3 linked regions of the Cricetulus griseus genome follow. The protein of the gene in region 3 interacts with the protein of the main gene of each other region in a pairwise test. Links are inferred from orthologs where the notes say so. Each region holds a gene or a part of one and is shown on either strand. Other genes may lie near its edges.

Region 1 (6,338 bases), on a different chromosome or scaffold from region 3:
CACAGTGTGGAGGGACAGAGAACATACCTTCTGATTTGAGTCTGGTCAGGACGAAGATCAGATAGTTGTTGAAGTCAGGAAACTGGTTGAGTTGTTTAAGTTTCTGTCAAGCTGTTAAGGGACTTAGAAAGTCAGGTGTATTGGGGCACGCCTGAGATCCCAGAACTAGGGAAGCTGAGGCCAAGATCTTGAATTCCTGGCCAGCATGGACTATATCCCATGATTTTGGCTCTAAAAAAAAAAAAAAAAAAAAAAAAAAAAAAAACCCCGAGAGATAGGAACTTTTCCTAGGCAATATTCTCTCACTGCCACACGGCTCAGAATGTGAGAGACCAATGCAATTAGGCAGTCAGTTCCAGGGATGGCACTCATCAATCACTATCCCTACAGCACCACAGGGCCTTTTCAGGAGAACCAAGTCCATACATGTACAGGGTACATGTCTGAGCTTTCTGCACCATCCCTTTACCAGAGCAGGAGTAGATTGGAAAAGTCTACTCCTCTTAAAAGGGCAGCTGCTACTCATTTCTGATCTTGACACTCCAATGATGCCTGCTTTTCTCAACCAGAATGGAAGGCTGTCTGGGTGTGGTACAAGCCTTTAACCCTAGCACTGGGGAAGTTGAGGCAGGAAGGTCAGACTGAGTTCAAGGCCAACTTGAGCTACATATTCAGTTCTTATTCTGTTAAATGGAGAAATGTTGACTCAAAAGAGCAGTACAGAGATACAGCTCAGTGGTAAAATGCATAGACAAGGCCATTCGGTCTCCAGCCACAAGAGAGGAGAAAGAATGGTTGAAAATCCAGGGAACAGGACTCAGGGATGCGGCTCAATGGGAAAATATGTGGCCAGCAAGCTTCTGGCCTTTTCATCCTCAACACCACAAGAAATGGTAGGGGACTTGTCCCATTTTCAAGTGAAAACTTGATATTGTTCAAATATTTGAGACAGGGTCTACATAAGTCCAGGCTGCCCTCAAACTATGAGATTCAACTTGCCTCTACCTCCTGAGTGCTGTGATTAAAGGTATATGCCACCATGACCATTTCATTTAAAAATCTGAACTCATTATTCTAATTTGCTTCTCTGCTGCTGTGATAATACACTGACCAAGAGCCAAGGCAGGGAGTAAAGAGTTTGTTTTAGCTTATCATGGAGAGAAGTCCCAAAGCAGAAAGCTGTTTACTGGTTCTTTCCCAGACTCACTGTTTACTGGCTCCTTCCCAGAGTCACCTTCTTCTACAGCCCAGGTTCACCCAACCTGGGATAATATCCACAATAGGCTGGGCTGGGCTGGGCTGGGCTGGGCTGGGCTGGGCTGGGCTGGACAGCAGGCCTGCCAGCATCAATTATCAATCAAGAAAACGCCCCACAGGCCATTCTGATGGAGGCAATTCTTCAATTGAAGGTCCTTCTTCATAGATGTATCAAATTGACAACAAAACTAACCAGGATACTTATATACTTAACAAGCAGCTAGAAAAAAAGTTTTCTGCCACAAACATGCTGCAACTCCATCGTCCCTCCCCATCTATGAGATGGCTGAGCTTCTCACCTTGGTTTCTAGCTGAGGCTTATCCAAGGTATTTTCCCCATCCTAAGCCTCCAGGTTCCCATCACTCACTCTTAACAGTTAAAGGATTAAGTGCTCAGTGACCATCAGGCATTCCCATCATTTTTTGCACCTCTGGAACTGGAACCCAGGGATCTAAGCCTTTAATTCTCATCTCATGTCACGTTCTCTCTTGCAGCAAAGTCTCGGGGACAAGAAGTGGTCCCTCCCTCTCTAGCCTTCACGAGGTGCAGACATCAGCCCTATTCCATCAGCTCCGGAAGGAAAGGATACATCCTGCACAATGCGCTGAGTAGCTGTGTTGGGCGACTGCGAGTCTTTGAGAAGCTGCAAGACCTGCTGCAGGCCCTGCTCGTCTGGCTGCCAGTCCATGGCGCAAGGCGAACTGCAGAGGCAGGGGCCTGGGTCAGCGCTGGGTCGCTAGGGTTCTGTGTGAGACCCAAGCTGAGTCCCCAAAGCAGAGGCGGCTGCATGCAGACGCAAGCACGCTCCGCGGGCAAGCGGAGGCCTCTGATCCGCGCCTGTCCAAGTGCCGGGTCCCCGCCAGCTAAGCCATCTCGGCCACGCAGTCGCGGGCTCGGGGGGTGCGGGGGGATATAAATGCCAGCCATCGGGAACTGTGGCGGGGGCGCGACGTGGAACCCTCTTCGCATGGCGGTCCATGCCGCCGCCCCCGGTTACGGGCCCTACGGCTTCCGTCTCCCTCCAGGGGAGGGCCCCACCCCAGCGGTCTTCCAGGTGAAGGCTCGGTCCACGAGGATTCCTTCTCCCAAGATCAAGCCTTCAAGCTCCGCTAGATCCCAGCCGCCTCCTAGGTTCCTGAGCTCCTCTAGGTCCCAAGTGCCTAGATCCTTCTCACCCCTGCTACCTCCCCTAAACCTGCCCTACAAGCTCGGCAGACGCACGTGCCCCTCTTTCTGATCTAGACGCGGCCCAGTGACTCCCCTTTACCAGAATACAAGCAATGTCCCACAGGTCTCCAATGTCTACTTGAACGAGAGCCAGTCAAAACCACCCAGCCGGCGACCAAAGAAAGCCCCCAGAACCTGTGCCCGCTGCCTGCCCCAATCAGATCTGGCCAAGCCTCTCTCGCTCTCACCCTCCCTCCGCCCCAGTCAGCAGTAATTCCTGCTGACGGATCTCTGTCAGCTCCCCAATCAAGTTACCTTAAGCCCCCGACCACCGCGTGTCAGAGACCCCATCTGTCCAATCCCTGCAGCTTCCCCCAAAGAGTCCCACACAAACACTCGCCCGGAGCGCTACCCTCAACGGATCCCAACACCGCCTCTCAGTCAGACCCACCAAGGCCCTCTGGGTTTTTTAAGTCTGACGCCCCTCCCTATCAGGACCTAACAACCCACCCCCCTCAACTTTCAAAGCTGTCTTTCCCAATCAGACCCAACCAAACCCCACCGGCACAGATTGCCCCACACACCCGATCCTCGAGACGTCCCCCGACGATTTCCCCCAATCAGGGCCCCTCCAGCCCGACCCCAGCCGCCCCACTGGCCCGCATCTCGTGGCACCCAAACCTGCCCGGGCGCCGAGGCCCCACCCCCTGAGGTCGGCTCAGCTCCCCCTCCCCCGCCCGGCCCGTTCTGCCGGCCTCGAGAGCTGGCCCAACCCGGTTCCCCGCCTCTCAGCCGGGCGCGACCCCGACGCCTGGGCGGCACGCAACGCAGACCCAGAACCCAGGGAGGCTCGAGAGAGCTGAAGCCAAGGAGCCCCGGCCGAGCGAGGTCCACCTACCAGGCCCCGGAAGGCAGCGGCGGCGCCTAAGTGCTGCAGCTTCTCCAGAGGCTCGCGCGGAAGGAGGGAGCCAAAGCCAGGGAATTAAAAAAAAAAAAAAAAAGAAAAAAGAAAAAAAAAAAAAGAAAACGCGGCCGAAATGAATAACTTCGGCTTCCGTAGGCCGTTCAAACTGGCCTAGCCAAGCCAATGGGAGGACGCAGCACTCCCATGTGATCTGGCAGAGTGGCCAAAGCCTTTGCTGGGTCACGTGACAGGATAAGTGCCGCCTCTAGGCCTCTCTGGCCGTTAGGTCCTCCCAACATCTCGTTTCCTTTTTCTTACTGCAGCTTTCTTCCATTCTTTTTAAATGTGTATTTCCTGAACCATGTGAGTGCAGTGCCGTGGGGACCAGAAGAGGATATTGGACATCCCCCTGGAACTGGAGTTACAGATGGTTGTGAGCCCATATGGATGCTGAAATCAAACCTGGGTCCTCTGTAAGAGAAGCCAGTACTTTTTAACCATTGGGCTATCCCTCCGGCCCTCCAGACTGCAGCTTGTTGCTGGAGCTAGAAAATTGCAAGTACGTGGGTGCTTCCGGTGTGTAATGCGCCTAGGAATCTCACAATCCCCAGCTAACTGCGTCCTTACTACACTCTCTAAAAATTAAACTGTTCTCAGTCCGGCGTGGCGACCCATAAGACTGTAATCTCAGGACTGGGGGAGAGAGACGGCAGAGAGATAGGGAGTAAGGCAACAGTATACCGTCCCAGGAAAGCCTGGGCTATAACATGAAATTCTTTCGTCAAAAAAAGCCCTGTCTTGGAAAAAAACTAAAATGGTTGTTTCTCTTCAGTTCCCTTATACAGCATTCGGTCCACTCTCGAATAAAGAGCAAGACACGCAGCTTGAGGTGGATGTTATACCAGAGACACGAGCAACTCTGTTCTTTGTTATTGTCCAATACCGCAACACTTTTACATGGTCCTAGGAAAACCACAAAGCTATAACTTTTTAAATTTATGTATGTGGATGTTTTGCCTAATGTGAGTCCAATGGCAGTGAATGGATCTCCTGAACTAGAGCTACCAGATAGTTGTGAGCTGTGCTGGCACTCGAACCTGGGTCCTATGGAAGAGCAACAAATGCTCTCAACCTGCTAAGTCAACTCTCCAGCCCCCTGCTATAACTTTTCAAATAAAATGATCTAGTAAATTCGAACAGAAGACCTAATCCCTTTCCCTACCTGAAGACAGAAGTAAGATGAGAGCTCTTGCCCAGAGAATTTAGGCAACGGCAGTATCATAAATGCTTCTGAAACCAGTAGAGCACTGTTTTTCCATTCCAGCTGCAAAGCATAGTAGTCCAGAATTGGGGACCCAATTCTAACTTCCTATCTTCTTCCCTTCCTAGTCCGGTCGCTGATAAGGGGCTCGCTCTGTCCTGCCATTCGCCTCCATTTCAGTGGATATTATATAATTTGCTCCATTACAGACAGTCCAAGTTAAACTTGGGCAACAGATCGCAATTATTCTTTGAAAATTTGGCTTCTAGCACACCTCAATATTGCCCGTTCATTGTCTTCGCGCCCTGCCAATATTTACTAAGTCAACCAGGACTAATTCCAAAGGACAACCAAGCCCTGCCCTAAATTTTATTGACCTTCAGGTGAGGCACAGGGCTAGGTATACCTCAAACGGAAAAGAGAAACAATTCAGCACACTTTCCCATTAGCACAGTCTCGGTAACGCTCAATCACTCACGAAACACAAGAACTGGAGCCCCTTACTAGGCTCGGTTGAGAGAATCAAGGGAAAGCTCCCGAATAGGATAGCTAAAAATTAATATAAACAGAAACCCTCCTTAAAAGACACGTGCGACAAGCGGCCCTGCACATGCGCAGAGCTTTCTCTCCTGCCCCGCTAGTAGTCAACCACATCTGTGACCCTCGAAACTACAAGTCCCAAGGTGCTGTGCGTCCAGGACGCCAAAAGCGATTTATTCGTGGTGCTGGGCTAGTCCCTCGGAAGACTCCAGGGAGGGTTAAATTTGTTTTTTTCATCTTCTTTTTCTTGGGAGTGGGTGTGTGTTTGATCAAACATGGGCATTGATTCCGAGTAGAGGACATGTGGAGTAAGTATGGACTGCAAACCGTTTGATACTTTTTTAAAAATGTGTTCAAATGGCATGTGACAACTTCCACAGCTGGTTCTCACTGTGGGTACTAGAGACTGAACTCATGTCTTCAGGCATTTGTGCGTGCTCCTTGATCCACCAGGTCATCTCACTGCCACCCCCCTTTTTTTTTTGGAGACAGGGTTTCTCTGTATTGTTTTGGAACCTGTCCTGGAACTTCCTCTGTAGACCAGGCTGGCCTCGAACTCACAGAGATCCGCCTGCTTCTGACTCTCTAGTGCTGGGATTAAAGGCGTGCGCCACCGGCCCATTCTTAAAATCTCTTGCAGAGCGGGGGCGTTGGTGGCGAACGCCTTTAATCCCAGCACTCGGGAGGCAGAGGCAGGCGGACCGATGTGAGTTCAAGGCCAGCTTGGTCTCCAGAGGGAGTGCCAGGATGGGCTCCAAAGCTACACAGAGAAACCCTGTCTCGAAAAACAAACAAAAAAATCTCTTGCTGAGGCAGGGTCTACCTGTGTTGCCCAAGCTGGCCTCCAACGTGCAAACTTCTTGCCTTATCCTCCTGAGGGCACAAGTGTGACCACAAGAGAGTTTTTAATCAGGACAAGTTTCCTGACCTGTTTTTTGCTATTTTGATCCAGTGTTTTCTTTCCTGTATTGCCCAGGCCAATGTTAACCCACCTCAGCCTTCTCGATAACCACAGCTGAGCACCACTTTACTAGGGTCTCCCTTCTGCTTTTGGGCACTTAGTCCCTGCCACGAGGTTTCCAAATAGTATTTTCCTATGCAATCCTCACAGTGGCCCTATGCACCCAATATTTACTTGAGTTCAACTAAAAGCATTTAGATCATGCCCAACTTTGTATCTGATGGGAGAATATAAACTCTCAGCCTAC
Region 2 (6,368 bases), on a different chromosome or scaffold from region 3:
AGACCAACCTGGGATAGACTTAGGCTGCTTTAAATAGAAATTCCACTTACAATAGCATCAAAAACAGTAAGATACTTGGGCTAGAGAGATGGCTTATCAGTTAAGAGCACTGGCTTCTCTTGTAGAGAACCCAGGTTCAGTTCCTGGCACCCACATGGCTTACAAATGTCCATAATGCCATTCCAGGGGTTCCTCCAGTCCCAGGTGTTCTGATGCCCTCTATAGCCTCTGAAGGCACCCGATTCATACACAATTAAAATGATGATGATGATAATAAATCCTAACATAAATTTAACAAATTAAACAGGCCATATTTGAAATATAAATGTGGCCCAAATAAACAGGCAATACTACCATCTGATCTATGGATTCAATTTCACCTAATCAAAATCCCAGTTAATTTTCAGAAAACAAGCTGATTCCAAAATTCACAAGGAAATAAGGGACCCAACAGAGCCAAAACAACCTTTTAAAAGATAAAAGTTGGGGCTGGAGAGATGGCTCAGAGGTTAAGAGCAGTGACTGCTCTTCCTGTGTCCCGAGTTCAATTCCCAGCAACTACATGGTGGTTCACAACCATCCGTTATGAGATCTGGTGCCCTCTTCTGGTGTGCAGATATACATGGAAGCAGAATGTTGTATACATAATAAAATGTTTTAAAAATGATAAAAGTTGGAGGACCAACTAGTTCCTAACTTTAATACTTCCTAGAATGCTCCACCACAATGGACAGACTTTTGCAAAGTGGATATGTAAATGAACAATAAGCACAAGAAAAAATTGCTCTACAGCATTTAGCCAACAGATATGCAAATCATCAAATCCCCAGCACTACATCTAGCAAACAAAAAACCATAAAACTGCCACTTTATACCCACCCATAAGCTAGCTACATGCGATCACCAGAAAAGTACAAGTGTTGATAAGCATGTGGAGAAATTAGAACTCTTATACATTTCTGGTGTTAGTGTTAAATGGTACTATCACTCAGAAGAAATGGGTGGGAATTACTATATGATGCAGCAACTCCATTTTTAGGTATTACTCAAAAGAATTGAAGGCAGGGAGGGATTCAGACATTTGTATACCAGTATTCATTGTAGCATTTTCCACAATAGGCAAAAAAAAGCACTAAATTGTACTCTTTGAAAAGATACATTGTATGGCCTGTGAGTTTGATGTCAATAAAGCTATGTTTTTCTTTTAAGTTCTAGTGTGTCATGGTGAGAAAGTCTCTACCAGCAAGTTGCAGAAGCCATGAGTTGATATGAAGTCACTTTGAAAGAGACAGGGAGAAGGGCACTCAATATGGGGCAAGTGCGCATGTTTATGGGAACTCTCCTGAGGCCTATGAACATCCCTTTCTCACAAGCTCCTCACCTGGGCTACCAAATAGCTTTCACAGCTTTCCATAGTTTCTACAGTCACTCCTTTTGTTTTTACTTAATTTGAAAGGATAACTATGCCTTTAAAGACCAGCTGGTCTGCCAAGAACCAAGAAAATGAAAGTTTGTGTCCTAATTTTAAAGAAGTAGCATCCCATGGGAGCTGAGCACAGAGGATTAAGGCTGCTCTGCAGGGGCCTCCCTTCTAGCCAGACACCTACTGGAAGGCAAGTCCTTTCCGTGAGAGGTGGGGCTCTCTTTTAAGAAGTCCAGCAGGGACTCCCCCACCTAGGGTGGCATCAACTTTCAAGCCCATTAAAACCCCAATAGAGGTAGCCCTAGTTCTGAAATCCAATGGGTTTCACTGAACCCTTTTTCGGTTCCAAGCTAGATCATTCCAGATTCTTATCCCACTAGAAGGATGGCAACAGACAGGTGAGGGAGGTGAGGGCTTCAAACAGTGGGAACAAGAGAGGAGAAACAGTGATGGGGAGGATTTGCCTGAGAGAATAATTAGGGAGGACAGAAAAAGGGAGACCAGAGCCAAGTAGAAGAGACCAGAAGCCCTAACAGGCTGAAACAAGAGCACCACCAACCTAGGGCTCTATGCCTACCATCTCTTGCCCATTATTTACTATTCCTGCTAGAAATGAAGATAAGATCACAGCAAGAATGATGGGCTCCCGAAGCCACCTCAATACCATCCCACTATTATGATTGACACCATCTCCCCTGCTACTCCCGCCAAGTTCCTAAAAGGAGTTTATTTTATTCAGTCCAGGAGTCTACAGGTTCTCTCAGAGCCAACATCTCCTGTGCACACTTGTTCCCTGGTTCTGATCAACAAACTCAGTAGCTGAGGCACAAGTCACTAAACTCACCTGTCTGCGCCCACATCTGCTCCTGCTCCTAACTTCCTTTGATCTCCACCTCTCTACACTTAGCCCTTGTGCATCTCAGTGAACACCATCTGGGACACATTTATCTAAACAACTCGCAGGGTGTACACAAAAAGTACACACGCGCGGAGCTGGAGAGCCTCCACACACAGAGACAGGGCACAGGCACGCACTCACGTAGTTACTGCACGCACAGGCAAGGAAACCCAATCGTGGCTGAGGGGCTGAGAACAAGGATGCAGCAGGGTGTCTCTTCCCGCCCTGCACGTGTTGCTCGCATCGCCCCTCTTGTACCCAAGGCCCAACAGGCCAAAGCAGATGCCAACAGGCAGAGTGAATACTGGGCACCACCGATCCCGACGTTACCCAGTCACCCAAGATGCCAGGAATCGACAGTCATGACTGCATCAGACCAGAGAGTTGGGTGCGAGAATCAGTACCCAAACCCAGCTCGGTTGTCTACTTATTGAGTCTGTCCTCCCAGGGCATGATTTTCCCTCTGGCCTGCGGGAACTGTACAGTTTTTTTTGTGTGTGTGTGTGTGTGTGTGTGTGTTGATTTTTCGAGACAGGGTTTCTCTGTATAGCTTTGGAGTCTATCCTGGCACTCGCTCTGGAGACCAGGGTGGTTTCGAACTCACAGAGATCCTCCTGCCTCTACCTCCCGAGTGCTGGGATTAAAGGTGTGCGCCACCAACGCCCGGCTACAGCTTCTTTGGTTCTGGGTCCAACCAGGGGAGCATGTGCCCAGATCCAAGCTCGTTGCTATGCAACCTTCATCCCGCACGGGCCACAGAGCATCTCTCAGTCCTGAGACAGAATTCCCTTAACTTCCCACCCGGGCTGATGTGGACAGACGTTCGTTGTCCTTATGTACCTGGTTGGGATGCCTGGTGATGTGTCTCGAACACTTATCTCCCCCGTTCATTACATCCCTGGCTGGTTCCTACAGGGCATCAGCAACCATCAAACCATCCATCATATGAGGGTGAGATCGACTCCCTACCTTTTCCTCTCTGAGCGCTCTCTCCCTCCCACACCTGCTTCTCCGCCTCCACGTGGCCCTCCCCTGGGGTTTACAGTTTTCCTTGGCCCGACTGAGCCCCTGGCCCCAGCAGCGCAGGCACCCTACCTGAAGCATCACTTTGTATTGCTCCTCCGGTTTCTGGACTACGCACATATTACATCCCATGGTGCTGGCCGGCGAGGGAAAGAAGAGGGCGGGAAAAGGAAGGCGTCTTTCACTGGCCGGTGCGTGGGACCGCGGGGCCCGGGACCTGGCCCTGGGCCATACCCTACCGCGGGGGGCCAAGCCGCCTAGCAGGGAAGGGAGGCACGCCCCCAAGAGGAAGGCAGCTCCACGCCCCTCGACTTAACTCTTTGCTGGCCGAAGCCAGACACAGGCATGCTCCCTCGTACCCAGGCAGGAAAAAAAGGGCAGCGGGGGATGGGCGGGCGCGCCACGCGTTGCCTGGCTACGCCCCCCCCAGGAGGCGTGGGAGCACGCCTGGCCGCTATGGCCGTCAGGGGCCGTGGGCCACGCGCCTCTCCGCCCACGGGGCCCGCCGCTGTCGCTGCCTTTGCAGCTGCCGTCCCCGGCTCCCGCCCATGGCCTTCAGCCCCGGAGCCCAGCCTCCACGCGAGGCGCTGCGGGCCGGCCCGCCAGCAGAGGGGCGGCCAGGCCCTCGCCAACTGCAGCCTCGCAGGGTCCCACTATCTTGAGCTCGCGGCGCCCTCTCAGAGTCTGGCCCGCAGAGGATCGCTGGTCTCCAGCTCCTGCCTGTGACGCCGGGAACGCGCGCGCGCTGCAGCGGCGCCAGGGGAGGTGTACGGGAACGGGGCGCACGCGCGCGGGAGAAGGCAAGGGGCTGGGTGCGGGAGGGAGCGTCTGGGGCGGGGGCGAGAGTCGGCGCGGGAAGCTGGGGGCGGGGTCTGGGTGGTAGGGGCAGTGGAACCCCTGGTACCCGGTGACGCTTGTGTCCTATGGCGAGGTGTTTAGCGGACCTGTCTGCTAGGTGTAGCTCTGAGAAAGAGGGTCCTGTTTGAAGAAGCCTTCCTGGACTGACTGCTGGAAAGAGTTCAGGGCGAGGCTATTTCACCCTTGTCCCAGGTTCTGGACATATCAGCCCTAAAGTCTCCACTCTTCCCTCTGTCTCTCTTTAATGACTGGTTCCCTCCTTTAACTGAGCCATTCCAATGCTGTCTTTGAAAAGAATACCTTTGTTTAGAGAAAAGAAAAAAAAAACATGGACTGCTGTAGGTGCTGAAAGGAGAAGCCTCTTGCTTTGAGACCTTCATGGGCACCGACCTTCCTTGCTCTGGAACTGCTGCCTACCTGTTTCTCAGTTCCAGCCTTCACTCACACTCTTTTAGCTCCCCCCTTTCTACCTCTTCCCTCCCACAGCCTGCTCCTCTTCTAGGATATAATAGAACTGCCAGCACTTGAGAGGCAGATGGATCTCTGAGTTCGAGGCCAGTCTCGTCTACAGAGCGAGGCCTACACAGAAACACTATCACAAAGAGAGACAGACAGAGAGAAGGGTAGTGGTGGCATATGCCTTTAACCCCAGCACTCGGAGCAGAGGCAGGCGGATCTCTGTGAGTTCAAGACCAGCCTGGTCTACAAGAACTAGTTCCAGGACAGCCTCCAAAGCCACAGAGAAACACTGTCTCGAAAAACAAAACAAAAAGGTATTGAGACGTTAGGGGTTAGGCAGACTCCCTGGTAAGTAGGTAGACAGATAGGAGAGGGGCCATGGTAATAAAGGTGGAAATTTCAAAATGAGTGACTTCTTCCTGGCACAATAGGCTGATAGACTGGTTCAACAATTTCAAGGCCTGATCAGGATATATTATACAAGAATTACCTTTTAATTCTTTAACTGGCAGTGAAAACCTGATCAAGGCCCCTAGACTGTATCAGTATCAGACTGCTTTTGTCACTATGGCTGTGTAACACAGTTTGAATTCAGGTGTCAACCTATCAGCAACTTCCTATTTGGGTATCCAGTATCCAGTCCCTCACTTTGCTGCAGTTGCAGCAGAGAGGTTTGGCAAAAATGTACCTCGTGCCTGGGATAGAAGAGATGACTCAGTACATCAGTGATAGACCATTGAGACCCTGTTTTTGGTGTTGTTGGATTCCTATTCTTTGACTCTTTTGGCATGGGAGTGGGGGAATTGCCTCCAAGTTTTTAAAAAAAATCACACACACCGCCGGGCGGTGGAGGTGCACGCCTTTAATCCCAGCACTTGGAAGGCAGAGGCAGGCAGATCTCTGTGAGTTCGAGGCCAGCCTGGTCTACAAGAGCTAGTTCCAGGACAGCCTCCAAAGCCACAGAGAAACCCTGTCTCGAAAAACAAAAACAAAACAAAACAAAAAAATCACACACAGGCTTATTCTTGATTATAAATGCCCAGCCTTAGTCTTAGCTTGGCTTCGTTTTCTTTTTTATGGGGGGGGCTCGAGACAGGGTTTCTCTGTGGCTTTAGAGCCTATACTGGCACTCGCTCTGTAGACTAGGCTGGTTTTGAACTCAGAGATCCTCTTGTCTCTCTTCCCAAGTGCTTAAAAGCATGTACCACCAATGCCAGGCAGCTTGGCTTATTTCTAGCCAGCTTTTCTTTTTTAACACTTACTTATCTATTGTGTATGCAGTGTTCTGCCTGGATGTACGCCTAAACACAAAAAGAAGGTACCAGATCTCATTACGGATGGTTATGAGTCACCATATGGTTGCTGGGAATTGAACTCAGGACCTCTGGAAGAGCAGCCAGTGCTCTTAACCTCTGAGCCATCTCTCAAGCCTCTACCAGGTATTTCTTACATTATTTCATCTACCTTTCGCCTCTAGGCCTTTTCCTTTTCTTACTTCTGCATATCTTCCTTTCACTCTTACTCCCTGGCTGGCTGGGTGGCTGGCCCATGATGTCTTCCTCCTTTTGTTCTTTTGTTGCTTTGCATCTCAGATTTCTCCTATTTATTCTCTCTGCCTGCCAGCCCTACCTATCCCTCTCCTGCTCACTATTGGTTATTCATCTCTTTATTAGACCATCAAGTGTTTTAGACAGGCAAAGTAACACA
Region 3 (6,350 bases):
TCCATGGTAAAGCGCACAGTGGCACTAATGGCTCACCGAATGGTCAGGAGACAAAAGAAGAAGGTACATAGGGTGCAGCATGCCCTTTGGGGTCGCATGCCCAATGACATAGGATCTCTCACTAGTCCCATCTTGTACAGGTGCTTCTACCTCCAAATGGTGCAAACCTAGGGAATAAGCCTTTCCCATATAGGCATTTGGGGATATTCAACATTCAAATGATAGCATATGCTAAGAGGCAGAGTTAGAGGACAAGAAGTGACTGAAGGCATAGGAGAGCTAAGGCCTAACTTCTCTTGAGTGGGGGAAGAGAAACAGAGATTAGGAGAACAGGGAGGTAATTGACTTCAACCAGGGGAAGAATGAGGATGCAGGTAAATATGATACTACCAGCAATAGGGTAGTGTTTGTTCTGTGACTGTTAGGACAGTATGTCAGGCTACTTTATCCTTACACAGACCCTATTATACTAAAAGATGAGCTAAGATTTGAAATCCCGGCAATATGGATATAGATACCCACTCCTTTACTTTAAAATTATACTGTAGATGGAAAAAGGAAGACATTGAAGTTGAAAAGTTTATATCTAACAGCTTTTCCCGTCATTGCAATTCCAGGGCAACAGGTTTGGGGCATGAGATGAAGAGAGATGGTAAGGTTTTGGAATAACCACCTAAAACAGCATGAAAGGTAGCTCCCCAGAGGGACAGCACACAGGGCAGGGCACTATAATGTGTGTGTAGATTTACCAATTCATAGAGCTGACCTATCCTTCCCTGTTATAAGTTCTCAGCAGCTTAGGGAAGAGAAATTCAAGAAACGGTACTAGTTGCCACACAGTGTAAAGGATACTCAAATGAGGGCACATAGGGGTAAAAATAGGTATGAGAAAGAAAAGTGTGTGTGATGAACAGATAGGGATTGGTCAGGGCAGATATGGCCAGGAGTTGGGGGTTGTGGGGACTGAGTGAAGGGAGGTAAGCGTTGGCAGAATGCTGAGATCAAGGAAAACAGGAGGCAGGGATTTATACGGTCTTTGATTGTAGCATTAGTACAGAACCAGGGCCACTGTCCACCTGAAGCTGCCCCCACCTCCACCTCCTAGTTGCCAGCAGGTACCCTACAGCGACTCCATCATTCTCATGGCCATAGGGAAATGACAAATACTCTGCTGTGATTGTGAAGTTATAAAGGACCAAATGTTTTCCCTGTCCTCAGTCCAGGGAATCAGAGGCAAACTTATTGCAAATACCTACTAGTCACATGGGTCTTCTCTGTTTTCAGAACCCCATAAGAGGGGAAACCCTGCTGTGTTTCTTGGGACTGACCTCTATTCTAACCCCGTTGTGCTATGTGTTCTTAATAACTTTTCTGATGATCTCTGACACAAAAGAAGGAACTGAATCAGACCTAATCAGATCGAACCTTACAGTCATTATATATGACACCATGATAGGTAAGGCAAAATAAAAAAAATAAAAGTGATGCCTTCCTGGGTTTTCTCTCTAAGCTTAACTTTCTAAGGATTAAGAAACATGTTCTTCATAAGCTACACCTACTACAGTGCTTTCCTCAATAAACACTGGATGAACGAAGATCACATTTCTTACATTAAGAAAAGGCTTATATCAAAGGGTTCAAATTTGTATCTTGTGGTCTATGCTGGCCGCTTTTATGCCCTGCTGGTGAAGACTTCCAAGCAGGTAACACATAACTAAGTCTTAAAAGACATATAAACTAACCAAGAGAAAAAGTAGTTATGTGTCTGTGATGGCTAGTTTGATGTCACAGACTTGACATCAAACTAGCATCAACTTGACATCAAACTTGACACAAGCTATACTCATCTGAGAGAAGGGAACCTTCTCTGAGAAAATGCCTTTGTAAGATCAGGCTGAAGGCAAGTCTGTAGGACTTTTCTTAGCAATTGATGGGGGAAGGCTCAGCACATTGTGAGTGGAGTCATCCTTGAACTGATGGTCCTGGGTTCCATAAGAAAGCAGACTGAGCAAGCAACGAAGAACAAGCCAATAAGCAGGACCCCTCTGTGGCCTCTGCGTAAGTTCCTGCCTCTGGGTCCCTGCCCTGTTAAGAGTTCCTGTCCTTATACTTCCTGATGTGAAGTGTAAGCCAAATAAACACTTTTCTCCCCAAGTTGCTTTGATTATGGTGTTTCACCACGGCAACAGTGACCCTAACTAGGACATGGACCAAATCAGACTCACAAATAGTTTATTTGAGCTATACAATACATAGAACGCAAGTCAATACTTTTTTTGTTTTGTTTTGTTTTTTGAGACAGGGTTTCTCTGTGGCTTTGGAGGCTGTCCTAGAACTAGCTCTTATAGACCAGGCTGGTCTCAAACTCACAGAGATCCGCCTGCCTCTGCCTCCCAAGTGCTGGGATTAAAGGCATGCGCCACCACTGCCCCGCCCAAGTCAACACTTTTAAATCAAGAGATTTCACACAAAATGTGACTTTCTAGTTTCCCTCTAAAAAGGCAGAATTTAACAGTGAGTCCATACCCCCACACAGCAAGAAAAAGCTAGAGACATGTGATGGGATCTCCAGTCAAGGTGGCCTTAGAGTTTTCTTTTGGGTTTCCTCAAAATCTGGGTCATTCTAAAATGCTAGGTATTCATAAAGTTTCTCATGAATCACTATCTGAAACTACCTTCCTCTTCTTCTGTTTATGACAAATACCTTCAGCTTCTTATTTGTGTGTGGCTAATTTTTGTATTGGTAAATTCATTCACACTTGGATCACAGTTTATCTTACCAACCTGGCACAATACTTAAGATGAAAATAAAAATCTGTATGTCTATGATGACCTTCACCAAGATTTACTAATCGGCAGACTTAAACACTTGTGCTATGGAGACATCTTAGCAATGATTCTTATATTTCGCTTCTAGTTTCCTCATACACCTGCCTAGGGATGGCCACCAATGAATGTGTCTTATATGCAAGATCTCCCTCTCAATCTTGCCTAACTACAAGGTTTTCTTTCCTTCCTTCCTTCCTTCCTTCCGTCCTTCCTTCCTTCCTTCCTTCCTTCCTTCTTTCTTTCTTTCTTTTTGTTTTGTTTTTTTTTTTCGAGACAGGGTTTCTCTGTAGCTTTGGAGCCTGTCCTGGAACTTGTTGTGTACACCGGGCTGGCCTTGAACTCACAGAGATCCACCTGCCTCTGCCTCCAGAGTGCTGTGCCACCACCGCCCAGCCAAGGTTTTCTTTATGAATTTGGGGAAAGCCATTTATTCAAAGACAATAACAGTTCACAAATTCTCTGCACCAAAAATTTCCTGTATTTTACTTTTAATTGAGACCTTAGGCCTAAATACAGGCTAATAAAAGGAGATAATTCCGTGCACTTCCCCCTTAGTCTTCTGCAGGGCTTTAGTTCTCTTGATCACCATTTTCTTAGCACCTAGAAGGCATTCCATAGACTGTGGCGTGTTTAACCGGAAGAAAAACCCATGCACCCCGAGGGCCCATTTGCCTTAAAGAAGAATCACTTCCACGATTTCCCATTTCATAATGTCAAGTAAGGCAAACAAGGACAACTCAAAAACAGGTGCTGTCTTCCAGGAGCCTGGGCAGTTCAGGTTGAGCACCCCACTACGGGTAAGGAGGGACCTCGGACTGGCGCGGACTGAGCTGGGGATCAGGCATCTAGAATGCCCGATCGAAACCCCACCCTGTGTATCGCAGACCGCTGTCCTTACCTGCACGCCGCAGGGACGCGAGCAACAGTTTCCTTGAGCGTGACAGCCAGACATGGCCCTGACCTGCGCTGGGTTACCCGCCGCGCGCTCTTTCCAGGCCAAGACTCCTGGCAAGAACGCTATTAAGCGGCAGAGAGGGCAGCCTGGGGGCGGAGCAAGAGCGAGAGGCGGGATCTCATAGGGCCTCGTCCATTAGGAGAACCTGCGCCGGCGCAGACCAGCTGGTGGGCGTGCCCATGAGGGTTGGAGGCGGTGTTAGAACGATAGTCCTCGAGTCCTAAGGTGCGGAGCGCGCCCTGTGGGCGGGGCTAGCCCATGCAAGGCGGGGCCTGGGCGGTCCTTGAGGCCGCCGGTCTATCCGCGCTGTAAGCCGTCCCGGAGAAGGCCGGGAAGATGGCGGCCTCCTGGAGGCTTCGCTGTGACCTGCCGCTGCTACGTTACCTCCTGGGCTTCGGCAGCCGTCGAAGCCTGGGCCGGGCTCAGGGTGCTGCAGCGTGGCCTGTCGGCCGTGGAGCGAGCTGGAGGTGGTTTCATGGCGCTCAGCCGCTGCAGGGTGAGTGGCTGGCGCTCGTTGAACTTCTCTCTTTAGCTGAGCAATGGGCCTGGATCGGGGTGTTCTTGTTTGGGGACCCGCTTTTGTGAGTGTAGGTGCCGAGTCTCCCCGTTCCCTTCAACCTCCCCCAGAACGGGTCTCCTGAATTAGCCTATGGCAAGCCTTGCGGCAAAGGACCGTCTTCAGACTTGGTAGAGCTTGACTCGGTCCTTGGCCTCCAGGGCTATATGGCTTCTCTGTGACCTTGCTTTGGAATTTGAGTTTATTTAGATGTTACCGAGATGGGGTCTGTTTTAAATCCCCTATTTTAGACCCTTTTCAGTCACATGTCAGATTCCTTTAGTTTCATCATTCATCTCTATCGTAATAAAGATGACCATACACTGTTACCCATCCTTATTCATTCAAAGGGCCTGTCCTTATTGTGAAACCTTGAATCTTAATTCCATTTAATGGCTCCTTTGCAGCATACAAGACTTAAATTAGAAATACAGAATCACAGACATGACCAGAATGTTTCAAGTAAAACATGTAGCATGAGATTCATACAAGCTCTTGCATAAAATTGCTCTTAAGTAATGGTATTGGACTCGGAGATAAACCCACTGTTCTTCCATTATTTAACATACAGAATATCAAATGGCAGGACCTTTCTTACATGTGTGAGTATGGGCTGGGGTTTAGAGGGACAGAGATGACGTTTTTCAGAATCATTAGAGATGTAAGTCATCATTCTTAGCACCATCTGGTGAAATAGGCATTGTCCACACTTTCAGAGGTGTTTGAGGCCCAGAAAACAAAACAAAAACAAAAACACAGCTTATAGAGTAAAGTGGGTGCTTTGGGGTTCCTAAAGAGTGGGTAATGGGAATTAACCTAAGTCATTTTTGGTATGATGTTTAATAAATGCCCCTTGATAGTGGTCTTTAACAATGTAGTGTATACTGTTTTCTCTGCCCCGTCCTCATCCTCATTTGTGAAAATTGAACTTTCCTACATTTAGCTGAAACGTTGACTCAGGGATGCTTAGGAATCTGCTCCTTACACTTTGTAAGTCTTGATGGATCAAGACTTTTGAGACTCCCTGCCTCAAAACATCATGGAATGTTACAAGCTTAGAACTGGGTGGAATTGCCTGTGAAGGGTCTTACCCTTGCTTGTGAAATATTTTTGAGCATCTGAATGCCCTAAACTCTAACAAAAAAAGAGTTTATGTGCTTGCATACAAAAATGGGCAGTTTCCAAGATCTCCTTACAGTCGATTGCTTCTGCCTTTAGAAATTCACATAGGCAGTTTCCAACAGATAAATCTTGACATTTTGCCTGTTCCTCACCCTCCAGACAGACACCTTGAACAACTTGTCTCTAAGCATCATCTGTAAGGAAGATGGTACTGAATGAGTAGTTTCTTATCATTGCTGCCACTATCAACTTAAAGCATAAATTCATCATCTTAAAGTTCTTGGAGTCAGAAGCATAAAATGGATGTCATCAGGCTGACATCAAGGTGTCTAGTTGAGCCTGCCTTCTTTGGAGGTTCTAGTAGACATTCTGTTTCCTTGGTTTTTTTTTTGTGTGTGTTTTGTGGGGTCTTTTTTTTTTTTTTTTTTTTTGGTTTATTTTTCCAGCTTCAAAGGGCTTCTTAAATTCATGGGCTCCTAATTTCTGTCTACCTTCCAGCTCAGTAATGGCTAGTCTATCTCTCTTGCCACTCCTCCTGTCTTCCTTCCATCAGGGGGATGAAGAAGTCTTGTTGCTATGGTGTGCCCACATGGATATTGGATGTTTTCCCTATCTCAAAACCAGTTGATAATGACCTTAGTTCCACATACATCTTCATTCTCTCTTGTTATATATGTAACATATTTCATGGTTTTGGATATTGTGACAGAGACCTCTGATAAGGATATTATGCTACGTGTGAAGCCCAAATTTATCTACCTACTCTTACCTGTGGGCTTTTGTTAAGCTACTTGAATATTATCTATTTTAGGAAATATGAAATTACAGGGTTGTCTTTTCATCTTTATATATAAGGAGTTTCTTTATGAGTTGGTACTAAGAATGATG

The links. The genes of interacting proteins can lie anywhere in the genome.
Region 1: the proteins of Apip (region 3) and Tnpo2 interact in binary tests that used the Homo sapiens proteins (3 or more experiments, as listed by UniProt). The two-hybrid records come from large-scale screens. The link is inferred for Cricetulus griseus from reciprocal best matches to the Homo sapiens genes APIP and TNPO2.
Region 2: the proteins of Apip (region 3) and Pdzd4 interact in a two-hybrid assay, tested with the Homo sapiens proteins (2 studies listed by BioGRID and IntAct). The two-hybrid records come from large-scale screens. The link is inferred for Cricetulus griseus from reciprocal best matches to the Homo sapiens genes APIP and PDZD4.

The regions. Positions count from the first base shown.
Region 1 is NC_048596.1:159,328,443-159,334,780, forward strand, and holds the start of Tnpo2 (transportin-2), read right to left. Parts: upstream 3,477-6,338; 5' UTR 3,324-3,476; intron 3,133-3,323; exon of another isoform or gene 3,010-3,132; intron 2,893-3,009; exon of another isoform or gene 2,741-2,892; intron 2,662-2,740; exon of another isoform or gene 2,526-2,661; intron 1,960-2,525; 5' UTR 1,947-1,959; coding exon 1,848-1,946; intron 104-1,847; coding exon 28-103; intron 1-27. UniProt on the Homo sapiens protein: Probably functions in nuclear protein import as nuclear transport receptor. Serves as receptor for nuclear localization signals (NLS) in cargo substrates.
Region 2 is NC_048604.1:1,913,858-1,920,225, reverse strand, and holds the start of Pdzd4 (PDZ domain-containing protein 4), read right to left. Parts: upstream 3,477-6,368; coding exon 3,417-3,476; intron 1-3,416.
Region 3 is NC_048599.1:74,576,979-74,583,328, forward strand, and holds the start of Apip (methylthioribulose-1-phosphate dehydratase), read right to left. Parts: upstream 3,882-6,350; 5' UTR 3,782-3,881; coding exon 3,728-3,781; intron 1-3,727. Other genes in the region: Pdhx (pyruvate dehydrogenase protein X component, mitochondrial), read left to right, coding at 4,121-4,280. UniProt on the Homo sapiens protein: Catalyzes the dehydration of methylthioribulose-1-phosphate (MTRu-1-P) into 2,3-diketo-5-methylthiopentyl-1-phosphate (DK-MTP-1-P).